Drosophila melanogaster: one gene and its partner. Changing the gene in region 1 together with any one later gene gives a genetic interaction. Each region holds a gene or a part of one and is shown on either strand. Other genes may lie near its edges.

The links.
Region 2: of l(2)gl (region 1) and Ankle2, changing one suppresses a phenotype caused by changing the other (phenotypic suppression), as found in Drosophila melanogaster (one study listed by BioGRID).

The regions. Positions count from the first base shown.
Region 1 is NT_033779.5:19,592-23,349, forward strand, and holds the start of l(2)gl (lethal (2) giant larvae), read right to left. Parts: upstream 1,786-3,758; 5' UTR 1,475-1,785; intron 1,383-1,474; 5' UTR 1,240-1,382; intron 430-1,239; exon of another isoform or gene 425-429; 5' UTR 354-424; coding exon of another isoform or gene 294-353; 5' UTR 289-293; intron 1-288. Other genes in the region: Ir21a (ionotropic receptor 21a), read right to left, coding at 2,328-3,096, 3,152-3,344, 3,403-3,758. UniProt on the Drosophila melanogaster protein: Essential for the development of polarized epithelia, for cell polarity associated with asymmetric cell division of neuroblasts during development, and for oocyte polarity formation.
Region 2 is NC_004354.4:17,577,042-17,580,799, forward strand, and holds the start of Ankle2 (Ankle2), read right to left. Parts: upstream 2,189-3,758; 5' UTR 2,064-2,188; exon of another isoform or gene 1,727-2,063; 5' UTR 1,704-1,726; coding exon 1,472-1,703; intron 1-1,471. UniProt on the Drosophila melanogaster protein: Involved in brain development probably by regulating asymmetric division of neuroblasts. Regulates neuroblast asymmetric cell division by controlling asymmetric protein localization of Mira, Baz, Par-6 and aPKC, and spindle alignment.

The sequences.
Region 1 (3,758 bases):
GCGCGAGTCTACAAAATACTGTGTGTGTATGCGGTTTACTTGTAGTTGCGGTGGAAAAAATTTACCTAAATGTTAATGCCCAAAAGTATGCACATAGGAGAAGACATAACAAAAGATTCAAAAGGAGGTATTTATTTATTCCTCATAAATTATAAGCTTTCTTCTAACTTCCATAAAAATGTATTTACCACCCAAGATCAAAATAAATGACCCCACAAAATATACCAATCGGCTACAAATACTTAAAAAAAAAAAAATAGAACGGAAAGAGAAAATTGTTTGTTTTACCTTACGATGTAGCGTTGTCTGTCAGCACTGGGCTGCTGCCCTTTTCCTCTGATAAACTTTAACATGATTGGTTATGCTCTTGTGGTGGTTTGGTTTTGATGAATAAATAAGTATATTAATTGTGGCCGAATTTATTCTAAACTGAAAATAATAATAAAAATTAATCAAATTTTCAATAAGTAAAAAATTAAAAAGGAACTTGTATATTTTTTCACTCTTATGAATAAAACCGAGAATTTAAATTTAGGTAATACTATTAATACCTTTTATAGATACGGACGATACGTTTAATATTATTCTGGTATACTTTAATCAAAATTTGTTTAACAAAAAGGGTTTTACATTCTTGAAGTCATAGGAAAATCAGTGGACAGATAGATCTTGGCTCCCAAGATTTTCCAAACTAGTTGTGCTTATTTTCTTAAAACTTCAAAGATTTGCATGTAGGCAGTTTAATAAACATGTTTGTACATATGTATATGTACATTAGGAAAAATGAAATGATGAGCGATCTGTACTCTTTGCAATGTGTATGTATGTACATATGTACCTCCCTTTAATGAACTAGCAATTCCGTCACGCACACGAAATATTTTTTTATTTGTAAATCTTTTTTAAAGTTTGTTTAAACAATTTAGTTACTATTAAAGCTCTAAAATTCATAAATAAATAATAATAAATGTATTAATTAGGACAAAAAACAACTTAAAACATATACGTTTATTTTTGTAAAAGCGTTTTAGGCAAACGCTAGCTGGTCGGTACTAATATTTTTTCTAAGACTGTATACCGTATACATACATTTATGTACGTAGGTATGTATCCGTGAGTAAGCTGAGGTGCAAAACCGTATCACCATTTGCTTTTCGGCTGATAACCAATACCAAGTAAGTCAACTGTTTCCCAAATGTATCTGCATAACAAGGTGATGACCTAATTTTGAGTACATACCGATCTTTACAGTTGACCAGCTTTGCGATTGCATACCGGTATCTGTTTATTCACATATACACACACAAATTGCGTGTTAGACAGACAGCAAAATGACGACTGTTAACTGTTGGCGTGGCTGACTCACCGACTACGCCTCTATGCTAAGAACATACATATTTGTGGACACTTTATTTAAGAAGTTTGAAATATAAATCAATTGCCTAATCAGTAATACTGTTGTTGAGCCCTTTACCTTTATGTATTTCCGTTTGTACGGTTAAGGCGGTGGCCGAGTAATTTTTTGAACTATTTTATTTGCTCACCATCACGCATAAGTTTGTATGTATTCTTATGTTGAGAAACGCCCGCACTGTTCTTCACATCGTTGCTTTAAATGAGAATAAATGAAATAAACGTGTCAACCAAGAACACACAGATAATAATACGACCGGTCAGAGCTTAACCGTGTATCTGTTTTATAAAACGTGAACAATATTATTAGCCCAAAACGATATGCGCGTCATTTTAACACACACAAAGTCGCGATCGGTGGGTCTAGTGTGCCCGTGTATCTCTATCGAAAAAATCATATATTTTTTAGAAGGTATATTTACCATGACTGACTGGAATGGGTGGAGAACATCGCTTTGGGAGTGAAACTCCGCTATAAATTGCCATTTGTTTTTATAGCAACCTTTTTGATATGGTCGCCAACTTTTATATAATTATAATAATTTTTGTATATATAATCATAATAATATCATATAATAATCACCGCTGTCGCACGAAAAATTTAGAAAATGTGCCAACGAGCGGAATTTTTCGGAACGATCGATGTTTTACCATAACCTGCTATATAAATTGTGAACCACTTTCTTAACACAAAACTAGATGTGCTTCATTTATAACGCAATGTTGTGATTTGTGGGCAGTGTGACCATGTCCAATCCGCTTTCAAGTAAAACCATATATTGCCACAAACTTTCCCATACAAAATACCAAACAACTGTAAAATTTGTTGTTGCATCAAACTTTTTATTTCAATACATATAATTTCATGTGCACTAAAGTGATTATTTTGTATTTGCATTTAAAAATTTCTGTGATTAATTGTCAATACGGAATGTATGTGAGGAAGGATTGCCGTCGTTATCCATCTGGTCCATAAATTCGTCTAAACGCTGCAGAGATTCAAGAGCTTCCCGAGATTCTTCGTCTTCAATATTATTTAATTTTGCAGAACTGTTTGGAAACTCAGTGTGGACGATGTCTAGCTGACCATGATCTGTTTCAGGTGCCCCGTAGCTTCCGTATATTTCCCGAAGCGTTGCGCGGGTAAGATTTAACTCGCGCATTCCAAAACTCATTTTTTGAGCAACCTCAGCAGCCTCGCGTCTATTGGCCTTTCGCTTATCATGGGAAAGTTGCTCGGCATTAGTGCGAAGCATTGACCCACTTGACGCCGACGACCAAGAGGAGGCGGCCGACTTGCGGGAGCGCTTGATTATTTGGCGGCACTTGTTGGTAATCCCACCGACGATCTCGGATACCAGGGCTGTGGCTCCTAGAAAGTAGCCCAGTGCCATGAGCAGGAACATTCCTTCTGTGTCCGCTGTAGTCAATTGGCGCTCTTCCTGAATTATTTCGCGTAAGGAATTCGAAGAACTTGCCTGGAGCAGGCGTCCTGAAGATGATCGCTGCATGACCCAGCTTACCTCGTTATTGATTTTTGCAATAAGACCACTTTGCTGGGCAAGTAATATCATCGAGTCGATTTTGATTTTATACACTGACTCTCGGGGAAACAGAAATCCTATTTGGAAAAGAGCAAAACACTCTTCACTCAAATGAAGCGCCGATCGGCGGGAAATATTTCTAAAAGAGGATATCGTTTACGGTGGGAAGATTAAAAATAAAGGATCGATCTTACTCATCTGAAAAATTTGACTGCACCAGGTATTCGAGCTGAGCCTTTGAGCCAAGAAAGGCATAGTTCCAAAAGAAGCTCTGGGTAACGTTGCCAATGCCCTCATCTACGGACCCGACAAACTCCATTTTCTTGTACAATCTAGACGTCGGTATATGGGTCGAGTTCTGGAACCAGGTCTCCCAGCCACCATTGTCTTTAAGTAAGAAGCCCAAATATTATATACAAATGTAGCGAGCCTAACCTTTTCTTACTCAGGGTTCCAACGCGAAAGAACAATCCCAGCAGATCCAACACAGAGTCAACGGTGTCCGGAAAAGCTGGCAACGTTACGAATGCTATGATGGAACCTGTGTAGCAAGATGTAATGATAATTGTAAAGAGCCAATATGCTCCAATTAGAAGGCGTGTGGAATTTTTCCGCGTGTTGCTCCACGAGTATTTTCCGGTGAAGGAGAAAGCGTTTGTGAACATGCCAAATACATACCAGAACATGTTTTCTACCTCACCCCAATTACCCATTAAATGGCTAAGTGTCAAACGGTCGGTAAAAACTATCGGAAATATTCCACCGAGGTAAACGCAAATCAGAGCGACCCAGACTGGCCAT
Region 2 (3,758 bases), on another chromosome or scaffold:
GGGTTTTACGGAACTTTGCTCTCTTATTTTTGCGCGTTGACTTGGGCCAAAAGACAGGGACAGGGCCAAGTGAAAGGGACAGGGACAGGCACAACCCACAATAACACAAGCCGGCAAAATTGGGCGTATGAACATATATATATATGTAAATATAGGATCCGGGGATTCTTGACAGTACACGCACACACTTTTTCGGGATACTTGTTGTTCTGCAGCTCGCAGTATAAATAAATTTGAAAAGGAAGCAAATTGGAGAAATTCTGTGTGATATACAGTTGCGACCTAATTTATAGTTTTTATTATCAACTGCTGTTTCGGGATCTTTCTAAAAATCGCAATTTAATAGGTACATAAGAAATAATAATATAAATATATAAATATTTACTACTTATGTGATATTGCCCCGAATTTTAGAATATTAAGATAATTGTTAAGTAACCCATAATTATTCTTGTTAAAAAAAAATATATATAAGGACCTATTATTTTGACCGCAGCTGTGTGACTGCTGGAACATAAATATGGCAGAATGTGGGTGCTGACAGGTCAAGGTCCTCGTAATGCATCCAATTTGGGCATTGCCTGGAATGGGAACTGGATGATGTCGATGTGGAAGTGGAATGAACTCGCCCCAATCGGTTTTTTGTTTTCGAATCGCATATAATTGGATTAAAGAGCGAACGACTGAGAGCAGGAGAGTTGCATTTAATTAGACAGGTAATCGCCATCGTTCACCATTTGTTTACAATTAAATCGAAAGACCGCTCCCAGACAAGGAAATCGACTGTGCGAGCGGGACAGCTGGGCAAGCCCCGATTCCGACTTTTTTCTCGAATCTCAGAAGTTTTGAACACACACATGTAAACTTCTTCATGGGCTGTTAGTCATGGAGGAACAACAGCGCAAAACGAAACTTATAAAAATGCAACAGTTGAATTACCCTATATGTAATTTATCCCAGTTAATACATTTCATATATAATAATATTTAAGCACTTAATTTACCAAAAATGTGTAATATGCACTATTAGGTTCATTAAAATAACGACTTGAAAGAACGAGTTATCCATATGCTGAACAAATTTCGATCAGGTATATTCTGCATAAATGGGAATAAAATTTCAACCCCTTATAAAACAAACATTATTGCAGAAATTCGTCAAGCAATTCAGGTTTAGTTTCAAAACAAAACCTATGCAATTCCGATCATGAACATTCCTGTTGCTTGGAAACTTCAACCCTCGACTTTTAAATTTGGTTTTAAAAGTATGTGTATGAATCATAAAACCTCCCACTTGCTCCATACGACACAATTGTTTAAAAACAAAAGCACACGAATACCCATCAACGAATCGACCGAACGTTCGCGCATGACCCCCGATTACAGGGTATCACAATAGCAACAAGCGGCAAATAACTGGAACGCAAAACACACACATATACCGACACTCGCTTCATCTCGTTCGTACTTACGTGGATAGTCGGGATCCTCGTACTTGGTGGCAGCACTGCCATCGTCTGCGTTGCCCGTTTGCACGGATGCCGCCGAGCCGGATGGCGATCCCGATGCTACTGATGCCGATCCAGACGCCGGATTGGATGGCTTTATGTTCACCGCGGCTATGGAGCCGATGCACTGCGACACCGATCCCTCAAAACAGCCCGCTTTGGAGGTCGGGATATAGACCCCGAAATAGGTCGACATCTCTGCGTAAAATGGCGGATGCACTGCAAGGTAAGCGGTTAAAATGGTTTGACATCAACACCAAATAACAGGCAACTTCTTCACAACTCCGTGAAAAAATGTAAAGTTCCGCTGATGGCAAGCGAAGGCAACGGTAAAAATAGGGTAACATCAACCACAAAATGCCAGGAACTCTACTGTCCCGTTTTGTTGTTGTTTTCGGCTGCACTCCTCCACTCGCACGCACACAAACACAACAACGCAAAAAAAAAACGGAAAAAAAACAGCACACGCACATCAACAACCAGCGACGCGAACTCACGAGACCTGGAAGACCCAACGAATCGGCGGAATCACAAACATATATCTTGTTATTCTTACCTTTTAGCACAAAGGGCACAATACATGAAACAAAACCCAATAATCTTAAGCGTCTTTCAAACAAAATGTGCACAAACGAAATTAAATTAGAGGCGGACTGTCAGCGAATCTAGGTGTGGAGTAATATCGATAAAAAGTATCGTATGACTAGCTGACTATTGCAGTCAATTTCGAATTGCAGATCAAATTGAAATATTCTAAAACACTTGCATGAAAATTACGCGAGATTTATATACAAAGCTATAGCGATGATTGGATATCGGAAATTCAAATTGATTGTTACACAGAGGGATTCAGACATGAGAAGTGACACTTTATTTTAAGTCTTAAAAGGTATTTTGGTTGTAAGTTAGTATTACGTTATTCATAAAACGTACAAATGAGGCATTCCCCCAACTTTCCTCTTAATCATATAGCCAAGCAAAACATTTGATGGTTTGAGTCAAGGGTGCTATCAATACCACTGGTATTTTCTTAGTATTTTGTAACATTTTTAAATGCACCGCCTTGAATTTAGTCCTCTTAATTTGTTCATTAACTTTGGCCACTCACAAGCCTAGCTTAAAGTTAGTAACAGTTGCCCTGCTTATCCGCTTCTATCCCTTTTACACTTTTAAATACAGTTTGAATTTCATACGTTGGTTTGGGTCTATGGTGAATTGGTTGACGATTGGTATCTTTTTGGTATTTTATAAGGCTCCCCATTTAACGGTGGGGATTTTTCGGACATATTTCAACGACCGTCGACGGCTGCAAACATAACGTTCGTGGATTTCGTGGGGAATAGCGGTCGACTCGCGCGGTCTCATTTTTTTAACGTGCTTGTGTTGTGTGTGTGAATGTGTTTGGCGTGCGGCTAACACTGTTGTTGTCGAATTGTTGTTGTTGTTGGTAAAAACTTGCGCGCCATTACTAACAGTAAATTAAAGGAGTATCACTGCTAAAAAAAAAAAAATTGAATACACGCAAATTTGAAAGCTGCGACCCAAAAAGGTTTGTTTAAGTCTTCTAGTCAATTGTCTGATTATATTTTGTTCCCTTTTTCCTTTTTTTTGGTAGCTCAGGGATACACATACCCAGCAGGGGTGTGTTTTCCTGCGTGCGGGTGTATGCGTGTTTGTTTGTGTGTTTTGAACCTGTCCTCTTATTCTTGGCTAAAAATCAATAAAATAAAGCAAAAGTCGAAACAACAAAAGCTGCAGGTCCTTTCAATCCATGTGTACGTGTGTGTGTGTGTGAAAAGGGTACTGATATTCAGTGGATTTTTTTTGCACTCAGTAAGCAGCTGCAATAACTAAATAAATAAAAGACCGTTAAACGAGGCTCACTTAGTTAGTCGAGCATGGCCAAAAAGCCCGAGTTGCCAATTGCCAATTAGAAGCCCAAAACAAACGAAGATACAGTGAGGCACGACTAACGGTAATTAGGCGATTACCCCCTGTAAATTGCACCTGCATTAACCGTTCGTTTTGCAAAACATTTCCCGTTTCAAATGGCCAAGCTAATTGCCATTTTAAAGTGCCCAATTGTTTTCGATTTTCGCATTCGTTCCTGATCTACTAATCCCGAATTGATTGCCACCAATTGATTCCAATTTTAAATCCTTCCTCTTTTTATTATCAATCATTATATATAGTATTATCAATGTTAATTATATACAGATATTTTCAATTTATAGCGACTTATGACGATCGA